2 linked regions of the Canis lupus familiaris genome follow. The protein of the gene in region 1 purifies or fractionates together with the protein of each later gene. This does not show direct contact. Links are inferred from orthologs where the notes say so. Each region holds a gene or a part of one and is shown on either strand. Other genes may lie near its edges. The genes, in order: DUSP10 and MAPK9.

The links.
Region 2: the proteins of DUSP10 (region 1) and MAPK9 purify together in Homo sapiens (affinity purification with mass spectrometry; 3 studies listed by BioGRID and IntAct, with this or other methods). This does not show direct contact. The link is inferred for Canis lupus familiaris from reciprocal best matches to the Homo sapiens genes DUSP10 and MAPK9.

Annotation. Positions count from the first base shown.
Region 1 is NC_049259.1:16,924,195-16,931,106, forward strand, and holds the start of DUSP10 (dual specificity protein phosphatase 10), read right to left. Parts: upstream 3,907-6,912; 5' UTR 3,748-3,906; intron 1,511-3,747; 5' UTR 1,471-1,510; coding exon 660-1,470; intron 1-659. UniProt on the Homo sapiens protein: Protein phosphatase involved in the inactivation of MAP kinases. Has a specificity for the MAPK11/MAPK12/MAPK13/MAPK14 subfamily. It preferably dephosphorylates p38.
Region 2 is NC_049232.1:1,735,539-1,741,856, forward strand, and holds part of MAPK9 (mitogen-activated protein kinase 9), read left to right. Parts: intron 1-346; coding exon 347-471; intron 472-1,536; coding exon 1,537-1,600; intron 1,601-2,611; coding exon 2,612-2,683; intron 2,684-4,350; coding exon of another isoform or gene 4,351-4,355; coding exon 4,356-4,498; 3' UTR 4,499-6,318. UniProt on the Homo sapiens protein: Serine/threonine-protein kinase involved in various processes such as cell proliferation, differentiation, migration, transformation and programmed cell death.

The sequences.
Region 1 (6,912 bases):
ATGAGGCCAGAAAGAACAGCGGGTTGCGGAGTATTTCATAAAAATGTCTCTGTCCCCTTGGAGCTCTGGCAGAGGAACAGATGTACACTTAACGCTTTTTGTGGGGCCTTACACTAGGGATCTCCACCCTCCTTGACGGTCACTTTACAAACCAAATAAAAGCCAAGCTGGTCAGAGAGGTGCGAAAGACGATTTCCCATAAAAAGCACTGGTACCTGGAGGTTTACTTGTCGTTCACCATAATTGCTGCTTCCTCCGCTCCATCAACTTTGGTGAAATCTGAGACACAATAACTTTCCAACCGGTTATTGATTGGAACAGAGCCACCAGACCAGCTATGGCTTGAGATACCGTCTGGCGGTACACCGCCTCTCCAAAAGGCCCAACAACGGTCTCAGAGAGGTGGAAGGCTGGCGCAGGGCAAACAAGACGCTGACTCGAGACTAGAACCCAGGTCTTCCGGCTTTGGGTTCAACGTGACTGTTTTTTTCTCACTACAGCAAAAACAGTTAAGGGCAAAGAAGGGAAGGCGAGAAGAAGAAAGTTCTGGACTGGTCTCGTGCCGCCAGGGTAAGGAGAGCGCTGGCATTTCTAGAACAGAACCCAAAGTGAACCCGGGCTAACCAGGACTGTGCTTGGGAAGGGAACAGGGGCATTACCTTTCAACACCAGAGGTTCCTTGCCTTCTCTCTTCAGGGACTCGAGGACTATGTGGAGTGGCTGGGAGGGCATCACTCGGCTCGGCTCATTGGTATTCTCATCATAAACTATAATTTCTTTGGAAAAGATCCTCTTGAAAGAGTCCTTGCCTTCCCTACAGGAAATCAAGTCTAGAACCGTGATCTTGCCCTGCTGCAGTCTCCGCCGGCTGATCTTATCGGCACAATTAATGTGGACAGCTCCTTGGATGTGACTCTTGTTATACTCCATGAAGGGCCTGCAGTCAATGATGACAGGGCCCTGGCTCGGCAGGGGACTCTTGCTGCATTTGGTCATCTTCTTCGCCAAGTCATTGGGGTAGATTATTTTGATGCTGGCTAGCTGCTTGGGGGTCCCTGCCACGGGGCTGCCCACCCCACCTGATGGACTTAAAGGGCCTGCACTGTCAGTGTTGTTGACCATCTGGTTGGCAGGGCAGGTGGCAGAGGTTCCGAGGGCGGTGGTGGCGGTGCCAGCGGCGATGGCTTGGGTTTGGGCCTGATTGTCCTTGTCGTAGGTTGCCACAGTACAGCAGCTGGCAGTGCTGCATCCACAATTCAGGGCGCGGGCAGAGCCGCTGGATGAGGGCATATACGTCAGATTCGCAGCCTTGAGGGATACGACGGTGGTCGCAATGACGGGAGGGGGGCTGTCACTGCCCGGGGTGGCCGAGCCAAGGTAGCTAGAGTCTAAACAAAGGTTGAGATCCTGAGGTCGGACGGGCCTAGACAGTGCCACTACTACCCTGTCGTCTAAAGGAGACGGAGGCATGAGGAGGCTGAAAACTGGCAACTGAAGAACTCAAGACAGTCTGTAAAGAAGGGGAGGGGGAAAGAAAGAATAAAGTCATGTGACACACAAGGCAGTCTGATCCAAACCCTAGGAAAGGCCTTTGCATCCCTCTGAGTGAAGTTGTCCTAAGGGCCCTTTATCAAGCCGCTCTCCAAGCCCGAAACTCATTTTTTTTTTTTTTTTTTTTACAGATTCCAAGAGGATGTCAACCCGAGGGCCCCCCTCCTCTTTGGTCACTAAGTCCAAGGTTACACGTACAGCCCACACAGTTGATGAACCACCTTCTCACGGACGTACTACGTGGAAGCTCAGCCTTGGAGAAAGGACAAGCACAAAGAATGGGAAAAGCCGAAGACAGAAAAGAAGGCTCCTAAGAGGCATCTATTCTGGGCCTCACCTCCTGGGCAGAAGCATAGTGCAACCGTCTGAGCAAGACCCACTTGTCCACCCGTGCATACTTTCCGTTTAATTCCTTCACTCACTGCAAAGGCAAAGGAATGACCAAGAGCGCTGGCCCGGCTCACCAAAATATACAGCAGCTAAATATACATCAGGGGCGGATGGCAACTTTCTGCAAATCAGAATGAGAGTATCCCCCTAAGTGAATCTCTTGAACGGGGAGCTATTCTTGCTTTGCATTCCTTTGAAAAGCACGACAGAGTCATATGAAAACCTCCCGTGTTTCCTGTTAGTCTCTTATAAATTAATTCTGCATTTCCCCTTTTGTTACAAACGAAATGTCCTGAAACAAAGCCTCAGGCTAAGGAGCCAGGCTGGTAACCCCCAACCCTGGCAGACCCATCGCCCTTTGCTGCCCACCTCATCCCCCCCCCCCCCCAAACACACACAAACACATACACACACTCCTGCCTTTAAGGAAAGGACCACATCGACTCTGCTACCTCCTTCGTTTCCCTGCTGACAGAGGCCGGGCATCCCAGAGGGATGGGAGGCAGCCCCGTGGATAAGATCTCAATCCCCCACAGATAGACCCCCGCCCCTCCAAGAGGATGAATTCCGTAGAAAGGACTTCCCAATGAGCCGGTCCCTGTTAAAGGGGGCAGTGAAGTGTTGCCCACAGGGTCCACCTCCTGCCTCAGGAGAGGGAGCCTGCAAAGGACCAGTTCCCTCCTTCCATAGGCACAGGGGCACTCTACCACCCGACCCTACCAGCTCCTTTTCTATTAGACACGCACCGAGAAAAGAAACCAAACCCCATGCAAGAGCCGCTCGTCTAAAGGAACTTTAAGAGATGTCTGGAAAAATGTCATCTATCATCCGTCTACACACGACCGTCACCATTCTCTGACACCGAGCCAAAGTGTCACAGGCAGAGTCCACACGCGGGCGCGCACACACACACACGCAGACACACAGAGACACGCACCCGACTTGTTCCCAGATCCCCACCGACTCAGGTTTCTCTCCTCCACTTTTGGATGGGAGAGAAGGGTTCATCCCTGGCCCTCCGGCCCTCCCACTCTCCCTCCCTCCTTTGCGTAGTATTTTTTTTTTTTTTTTTTTTTGAAGAGCAAGTACTATTCCAGAAGCTAGAACTGTTTCCCAGCTGGACCAAGCGGTGAAAGTCTCTGCTATTGTGTTACCAGGTAGGGTATGTCCCAGGATCAACAGCCCATTTCCTTGGTGAGGGACGCATAAGCGTGTTCATGGAGACACAGGCTGGGACCCCCACCTCTACGCGGAGTGCGCGGCTCACACACACACACACACACACACACACACACACACACACACACACACGCCGGAGTGTAGAAAGAGATCTGCATCCCTGCAGCAGAGGGTCGGGCGTCTATATTGCCCATGAAAGCATCCAGACCGGCCCAGGAAACCTCCCAGAGAAACACTAAGCTGCCCCCTCTCCCTTGCTGGCCGTCCTTCCACCTCTTAGGCAGGGGCTGGAAAGAAAATTAAGTCGTTAGAGAATGCTACTTCCCCACTCCTGGGCGCTCATCCCCCTTCGCAACACAGCGCACTAACAAGCCCCTGGCATTTAAAACTGCCGCAAAGCATCCCAACAAACCTCATTTTCTTTCTTCTCCCCAAATCCAAGTCGACTGCGGAGAGAGTCAACGCACAGGGCAGCGTGAGCCAACAGCAGGAACCCTATACCCTCACCTGCTGCGGCTCCCCCGTGAGCATCGCATCACACACACACACACACTCACACTCACACTCACACTCACACCGCCTTACACTCCCAGGCTCTCCAGAGGAGCCGCGCTGACTTCCACTTACTTCATAAATAAGTGTAGCCCTCCACCATCTGGCGCTCCGCTTCAGCTAAGGATTCGCCCATTCAGCCCCCATTCACTTGGCTTCATTGATCTCCAGCAGCAACATAGTTACTTTCTCTTTTGCTACACTGTAAATGTAAGGTTCTGAGGGGGCGGGCCGGCTGCCGAGCGACGGCACGTCGGGCCAATAGGAAGCCGGAGAAAGCCGACCGCTACCTCGCCGCGGCCCGCGGCCAATGGGCAGCGGGCGGGGCGGGGCCGGGGGCGGGGCCTCGTCTCTTTAAGGAGGGCTTATCCGACGCCGCTCCGGGTCCTCGGTGTTAGAACGCGGGCGGTGATGTCATTGGCAACCAATCAAAAACTTAAAAGGGCCAGCCGGGGCCCGCGCGGAGCAGCTGCTCTCTATTTACATGTAAACCGAACCGGCTGGATGCAGTTAACCCTTTCCGGGGCCGAAGTGTCAATGGGCCGGATCGCTGCTCCGGCTCAAACCGGCTGGGTCCCTGGGCCCGGAGCCCCCCGCGTGCCCCTGCCCCGGGGGTGCGGATCGCGTCTTCTCTTTCCCTCCTACTCGGGACCAAGGATCGGAAGAGTCGGAGTAACTTTCCGAGGGCGGGCCCCGCGAGCAGTCTCCGTCCCCGGCGGGGAGCCGGCTCGCCCAGGCGCTCCAGGTGCTTCGACAGACCCTAACCCGAGATCCGCGGCCGTCGCCGGGCAGCCTGCGGCGGGAGCGGCGGGAGCGGCGGGAGCGGCGGGAGCGGCGGGAGCGGCGGGAGCGGCGGGAGCGCGCAGCCCGGGAGCCGCTCCTGCACCGGGGCCCCGCGAGCGCCCACCACGCGCTGGGGGCGCCGGGGGCCGGGAAGCCGGGCCCGCCCAGCCGCGCTGCTCCCCGCGTCCTCCGCCCGCAGATGTCGCTGCCCCTCCGGGTGCCACCCCGCGCGGCAGCGGCGCGCTCCGGCCCGCCTGCAGCTGCGCGCGGTCACGCCCCCGCCGACCCCGCCGGCCTCCCGGGGCTCGGCCCGCCGCCCGGAGGGCTGCTCAGAGGCGGCGGCCTGGGGCCCGGCCAGAAGCTGCAGGGAGCGCGCGCAGTAGCCGGGCGGTCGCGGGGCTCGCCGTGCGCGCAGGGTCCCCGCCCCCCAGCGCGGCCCCGGGGCGAACGCAGGCCCGCGGGCCCCGCGCTCCTGGGACACCGCCGCGGGCGGAGAAGCAGCCGGAGCGGAGGGTAAACCACCCGCCCAGGTCGACGGGGCGGCGCCGCCGCTCTGGGTTTTCCAGACTTTTTTTTCCCGAGGAAGAGCCTGGGGGTGGGGCGGGGGTGGGGGCGAGGCAGGCTGGCTTGCGCCTGGAAAATCTCAGAGAAACTGCGGGAAAGTTGTCTTGGGGTACGCAGAGGGGTGGAGATGCTACCTGCGGGGAGCCTGCATCAAAGGACCCTAAAGAAATAAGAGCTTTTTCCTCTTCCCTCGCCTGCAGGCGCAAAGGAGTTTGATAAGGACAGTAGAGTCTTACATGAGGAGCACTATAGGATACTCGGCTATGAGTTTTCTCTCTTACTAGATTGAAGGTGTTTGGAGACATGCTTCGGGCTCCACGCCTGTCTGAGTAAGTAAGCTAAGTGGCAGCGACATATTCGTATAATTGCTTTAAGTGCAGATCTGAAATCAGGAGTTGCCAAAGGATGGCCACGCTCAAAGAGCTACTAAGAGAAATCCCCTTCTGTTGGGGAGGGAGGGGGTATGTATACTTTTTTACACATGTGCATGCACATACACAGTTCAGCTTCCGCACCCGTGTTTTCCACGTGCAGGAAATGCATACAATCATCTTTAAAAAAGGAAAGGGTTTTGGGGAGCCCCTTCTGCGTTCACACACCAATGCACATCCACGTTCCCTTCCTTAATGATAACTAATGAGTACTTAGGACACAGCCTTTGGTCCAAATGCCTTGCGGATCATCAGTAGGCCCTGGCCAAGGAATAATTTGGAATCTGAGTAATTTCATAGAAACCAGAAAAGAAGTTCCCAGAGGGTGTACCCTGGGTCTATTTGGAGCTTTAATAGCTTGCCTTTCCCTAACCATAGAAAATTATCGAAAAAATGTTCACTAATTCGGGATTAGAAAATTCTGGAGATAAATCCTGATTCTGACTCTCATCTGTAGTGTCTGTTCATCCAGAGACATTGTTCATTTATCTGCAAAATGGTAACACCCAGCCCAGAAGAAAAAGGGAAAAGTCCTGGTGTGTGTGTGTGTGGGGGGGGGGGGGGGGTCGGGAGGGGACACCATGATGACGCTGCTGATAAAAGGCATTCAGTCAAAAAGCATTGTCCTTGCTTCCAGAAACTGGGTGCCTCTGTGTAAAAGCACTTGTGATCTCTAGATTATGAATTCATGGCTAATGCTTCACTATCTAAGCCCAAACAAAGTAGGGATTTATACAATTGCAGAAGAGTTTATAACAGCTTTCCCACAGACCCAGGAGGGGAATGTCACTTGAGAAACAAATTTAACTCATTTAATGAGATGATTATTTTATTATGCTTTCAAGCTAGTGGGTTATCATAATTTAGTTGACTAAGAGTCGAAGCCATCCAAGCTGAAAAATTAGGAAAAATGGCAACATTCCTCATCATTTATCAAACGTGAAACATGGAAAAATTACCAGATCATTAACATATATAAACATGTAATTTTTTGTTAATTAAGCATCTCTAAAGGTATAACTTATGTTCAAATCATAGAGTGGTAGAAAACAAATTACAGATGGATATTTTTTTCAGTTGCTACACTTCTGAGCTTTTTTTGTACAAAAAGAGGTGATTTTGTTTTGTTTTGTTTTGTTTTTTTGAGTCATAAATGTGAAAACACTATCTGAAGTACTGCCCTTAGATTGAAATTTGTAATACCAGCCAGCCAATGGCTATGAACCTGATCTCTCTACAAATAGCCAGCAAAGCCTTAATGTTCAATTTTAGTCCCGAAGAAACAGCAAAGCATCTTCATTGTATCTGAGTGTTCTATCATGATTATGCTGAGCCATAACTTTGTTCCAACAAACATCCTAAGGAAAATACTGTTTTGATGCAACGCACTATGTGTTAAATCCAAAAGATGAAGATAATTTAGGCCAACATATAAGATATAATTTAGGCCAACAATTGAGAA
Region 2 (6,318 bases), on another chromosome or scaffold:
CAGCGCCATCCTTATCTCAGCTCCCCTGCCTGCCCTGGTGGCAGCATTCCCCGGGCACCATGTCAGCCTCTGGCTGGCCTGTGTCCACCTGGTACCCTTTTCCCAGGCCCTGCCACTCCTCCCCTCCCAGTTCCAGAGGCAAGAAACCTGAGTTGGAAGACCAGATTTGTAGTGAAAGTGCCTCCTTGGCTTATTCTTAAAGAAAAAGCCTCAGCTGATCCAGAACCTATCAAAAATGTCAAGTTTTAATACATCTTTGTTCTATCTGTACTGTCACATTTTCTCTGTGATTTTCTATGTTTCAGCATTAATTTATTAATTAATCTGATATTTGTTTTCATCCTAGCGAGTCAAGCCAGAGATTTGTTGTCAAAAATGTTAGTGATAGATCCTGACAAGCGGATCTCTGTAGATGAAGCTTTACGTCACCCTTACATTACTGTTTGGTATGACCCTGCTGAAGCTGAAGCGGTAAGCATCTGTTTCGGAAAGACTCGTGTGTAAAGGCAGGGAGTCCGCTTCCTTGGATCTTCTGTCGTTCCAGAATGGCCTCAGTAAGGATAGCAAGTTCTAGATTTCAGAGGACTCCCGAATACAAAGAGGCCAGGGGTTGTCCAAGACCTGGCCTGCTTCTGGGACCTTTGCTCTGGGGCTGTCGCTCAGTGTACTTTAGGGGTGGACATGCTTCTGCTGTGGTGATAGCATTGTCTTCCTTTATGCAGATGCTGATGTATGAGTGTAATAACACGGTTTACTAAGCCTCCATCGTGTACCTGGCAAGGTGCCATGTGCTTTGCCTATAACACCTTGGTTAAGCCACCCCCTCAGAGAGGCTTAAGAAACTTGCTGAAAAGCACAAGTTTATTTATCCTTTCCCAGAGGCACTTGCTGGGCGAGTTCCACTTCCGAGCTCAGTGTTCAGGCGCATTTTCCCTTAGCAGCACCAGCATGGGTGATCTCTGGCTGTAAGCGAGATAACTGGCATAGGGGTGGGCTCATTTTAGGGCTGGCCTGTAGATTTTTTTTTTTTTTTTTTAGTTTTTTTTTTTTTTTTTTTGGCCTGTAGATTTAACCACCACAGAAACATAACGTTTCATATGAAAGTCCCATTTATAATAAGCATGTGATTTTTAAGGAAATTTTTGGGATGGCCCAATGTGAGCTGCGGATTGGGTACAGGGGCTCTAACATGAACTGTAAACCTGAGCTGGCATGTCCTTATCCAGGACTGGTCTCTAGGAAGTGGCTCAAATTACTGATTTTATAGTTACATTTGGACAGATGCCTTTAGGGTGTCTTGAGGTCATGTTATAATTAAGAGGACCATAATAGCTCCATTTTGGGGGGGGCTAATTTCCCTCTAATTATTTTGATTCTGAAAATGATGTAATATCACACTTATAAAGAAATCTTTAAAAAGCTACATATGAAATGAAAGCCACATGATACATAGATTAGACTCTCCCTGGTGATTTTAGTGTCTTCATGCCTCGTTATGGTTTTAACTGTTGACTTCATATGTAATTTAATTTTCAGCCACCACCTCAGATTTACGATGCCCAGTTGGAAGAAAGAGAGCATGCAATTGAAGAGTGGAAAGGTAAAGAACAGAGCTGATTTTGCCACTCGCTTGCGGCACTTTACTCTCAGCAGTAGCCTTCCTAGGGTAGGAGCTAGGGACCATGCAGCCCCTCTCAGCCCATCTCTTCACAATCCCTAGCACAGAAGAAACTTGCAGATAACAATTAGTGAGGAGCAGGTATGGATTGCATATTGTTTGCTTCTGAAGACTGTAAGATAAACCAAACAACCCACAATAAACTAAACCCATAATCAGGAGGTCAAATAACAATTTTCCATTAAGAAGCAGAATCAGTAGTAGTTGAGAACCATGGTCAGTGCAGGTCAAAGGTGGCAATGTGCCCTGCCCAAGCAGATAATGTTTCCTTGCTCCGGGGCGTCCAGAGTGCCATGACCTGCATGAACACATGCTCAGCAGGCCGACACACACAGGCACAGCCTGTGGCCAACGGTTGGCTCATAGGCCTCCAGAAATGTTTGCAGTGTTCTCATCTTGATTCACAAAGGCCAAAATTTTAAGAACCCCTAATGCTTCCTTAGTATGTTGTTAGCTTTTCTCACAAATCAGAATCAAGGAAATGGAGGTTGAAGCCAAGAAATGACTGAGGAACTTGGATTAATTTCTGGCCAGTCTGGAGGGGCTTCTCACCCATAGATAGATATCAGTTCCTTTTGGAGAATCCCAAGTAACAATGGAGAGAAACATGTGCAAACAGTGTGAAAGCATCCAGTACTCTGAAATGCTCTGTGAGAGCCCTTTTGCTGGTCTCCAGCCCCTTATAAAACCCCCTGTGGGTTCAGAACTGCCTACGTTTTTGGCTGCCCTAACAGTTGAGTTAAAGACGTGGGTGTTTTGGTTTTTGTAGGTGATACTATTGAGTTAACCAGATGATATTATTGAATTAACTGTATACCATAATTAAAAATAAGGCATCACAGTGCCCTTGGAGTGGTTCTGATTGATTAGAAAGCAGGGTTCAGAGACACAAAGAAACTGATGAAGCCTTTTAACTTGCATTTCCATTTGAAGAACTGATTTATAAAGAAGTGCTGGATTGGGAAGAAAGAAGCAAGAATGGTGTTGTGAAAGATCAGCCTTCAGGTTAGTGATTGCTTTAATAGTTTGATCTTAGCACCCCCTCAACCCCATTTCCAAACTGGTAGCAGTGCGCTAAATGCTGGCTTGACCAGCACTGGGCCTGAAAGCTCCCCGAGGTAGATGGTCTTCCTGTCTCAGTGTGTCGTGGTAGCAGCAGCTAACGGGTTACTGATGTAACAGGCACTAAACTGTGTTATAGACATCCCTGCTCTGCACTTGTCCCTGCTGCTGTCAGCTCAGTTTACAGATGAGGGAGCTGATTTAAAATGTTACCAATTTGTGTGACCCTCTTTGTACCACCACACACACACACACACACACACACACACACACACATACACACAGTGATTAAAGAAAATTAGCATGAATCTAAGCAAAATGGAATTTGGTTTTCTTTTGAGAAAATCATTCATGTGATTCTCCTGTATTTGTACTTGGTCTGCCTGGGAATCTGTTCACACCGTGTGACTGTTAGAGACCTAACACATGTGTCAGTAGGATCCCACCTGCTTCCTAAGTGAACTCCTTTGAGTTGTATTTATCTTCTCACTTCACATCCTCTGCCACCCCCCACCTCCACCCCCACAGGAGCACACGCACACAGAAGTGCAGATTGCACCGTGTACTCATTCTTGAATTTTATATTCAGCATGACATATGTGTCAAGCATCTAGAGATTATGTAACTTTAGCACAGATTTAGGTGCTGTGGTTAATCAGGCACAAATTTAAGAATGCAAGCACTGGCCTCCAAGAGCTCGACTGTTTTATTTTTGCTCAAACCAGCCTAAAATATGGACAGTCGGTAATGGCATGGTTTTGTGTACTTCAGAAATCAAAACATCAGTATTGGAAAAAAAAAAAAAAAAAAAAAAAAAAACATCAGTATTGGGGATGTAGAAAACAAAAATAAAATGAACAAGAGGCCACTAAATTTTTTCCTTTTTTTTTTGTTTGTATACAGTCTTTAACAGTTTTTTTTTTAATTTAAATTCAGTTAGCCAACATATAGTACATCATTAGTTTCAGATGTAGAGTTAATAATTCATCAGTTGCATACAACACCCAGTGCTTCATCACATCACGTGCCCTCCTTAATGTGTATCACCCAGTTACCCCATCCCCTCACCCACTTCCCCTCCAGCAACCCTCAGTTTTGTTTCCTAGAGTTAAGAGCCTCTTATGGTTTGTCTCCCTCTCTGATTTCTTTCCACTCCATTTATATTACAAAAGAATTCTTCAAAGGTTCCTGTTTTTTCCCTTGGACAAAGTGTTGATGATTATAGCTGAAATGTCTGATGACCGTTGAACCCTATTTGGGCTTCAGCCTTTTGTGACACCTATATTTGTAGGATAGATGCAGCAATTTTCTATTAATATCTTTTTTAAAGAAGCATATTTTTCAAACATTATACACATGCACAGATGTGATGTTTAGCCACTAGGAAGAAAAGGAGAATGTTGTAGGGACAGACAAGAAATTTTTGGAATACTGGACCCAAAGAGAGACTCCAGAAAAAGTTGGGCACGTGTAGCAGGCTCATGGGTTGTTAGTACGAGCAGTTAGGCTGGGGGGCCACAGAAGCATGGAGCTGAGAAAGGCCTCATGTCTCACTGCCCGAACCTGCAGCAGTGTCGTGCCTCAGATTTTATTATATTTGGTTTTCTTAGCACAGATGCAGCAGTAAGTAGCAATGCCACTCCTTCCCGGTCATCATCCATCAACGACATCTCATCCATGTCCACGGAGCAGACGCTGGCCTCAGACACAGACAGCAGCCTTGATGCCTCGACGGGACCCCTCGAAGGCTGCCGATGATAAGTCACAAGTAACAAGCTCGTCAACAGTGAAGGAGCTCTCGCTTCCATGGGCCTGAAATGCTTGGGGGTTGATGGAACCAAACAGAAAACTCCATGTTCTGCATGTAAGAAACACGATGCCTTGCCCCTACTCAGTTCTAATAGGATTGCCTGCCTAGATTCTACAACGAAGCAGATTATGTCTGGAGAAAACACGTGCAAGCCACACTCTTAGAGATTTTGTTCAAGGTCATTTCAGGTGAGCAATTAGAATAGACAATTTTTTTTTTAAGTTGTGCGGTCATAGTGACAATTTCTCATCCTCATAACTGTTGGGACTTACATGCATGTGACCACATGTGCTTGCTCAGACTTGCCATCTAGCACTTTGGAAATCAGTATTTAAATGCCAAATAATCTTCCAGGTAGTGCTGCTTCTAGAATGATCTCTTAATCCTCTCAAGTAATTTGGTGTCTGTCCAGAAAAAATAGATTTATGTGTTAATTGGCCACCATCATATTATCACGTCTTACCTTTTATGATACAATTTATTCTATCTTTTGTATTTCAGAAGGAATATAATTAAATCTATTTAATAAAAAAATACAACTTTTTTTTAAATTTTCATGTTTTGGGCTGAGAATTATCACTGCTGAAATCTAGACATTTATATGGACACTTTGTTTCCTCTAAATTGTCTGAATTTGGGATGAGTGTACATTCATCTTTATTGCATGATAAAATTTTAAGTTTTGTGCTGCCTAAGACAGATATACCTTTAAAATCCTAATCTACCCTCACTCATTTTTCCTGGTCTTCTGGACTTATTAATTTAAAATCCCACCTAAAACTTCGCCTTCTTGATCAGGCACCTAACACTTCATGTCAACAACACAATGGCAGATTCTCAAGTCCATTAGCGGTGAGAGTAGAATTTGACAAGACGGTCACTGAAGCTGACTGCGGTGACTTCCTGAGCGCTTGCTTTCCCCAAGCCTGGTCAGGGTCATTCCCTCATTCCTGGGGAGGTGCACCATCTCCCAGGACAGCGTTTCCAATTTCCAACCTAATGTTCTTATTTGGCTTTTCTTTCTTTGCTGAAAGAAGCCACATAACCCCATCCATCCACCCCCAACCTCCCCACACTTGGATCTGTTCGAGGAAGCGAAGTGATTCCAAACGCCTGTGTGGTGGTGGTGGTGGTTTTTTCCACTTCGTGGAGCATCCCCTTTTCCTAAGGGAAACCCATGAATTTTCTGGGAAACCTCCTCATGGGGTTTTTTTGGAGGAAGTGCCCTCAAGAGTGGTGATTAACCATTGAGTACTTTCTGATTTAAAACTGCTCACCTGAAATTGATGCTTTCAGACTTTCTGATGTGGAAATTATTCAGAGTTCACTAAGCTACTGAGTACTGAAGTGTCACTGCAGAAATGGAGTTACAATGATCACATTTTTTTGGTTACCTGTGCTCCTAATGCTTGCCCCATGAGCTTATTCTGTTAAAAATTCATATCTTGTGTTTTACTGTTTTTGGAAGCTATTGGGTCAGCATTCTATAGGAATGTGTTCTGAGGAGGAACTTTGATAAGAAATTTTATTATAAATATTATCAAAAAGATATGATTCTCTCGCACCAGTTGTATCTTATTGGTGGGTCTGATCACTGGAAACTGGAACCCTTGATGAACAAAATTATTATTGAAGGTAATAGTTTTATATTGTGAGGTTTAGACACATTCAGGTACAAGATGGAAATTCTGACTTGGATTAAAGGAGAAATACCTATTATGATATGGCTCAGGATGGTTTTGGCTTTGGAGGCCTGATGGTATAGTGA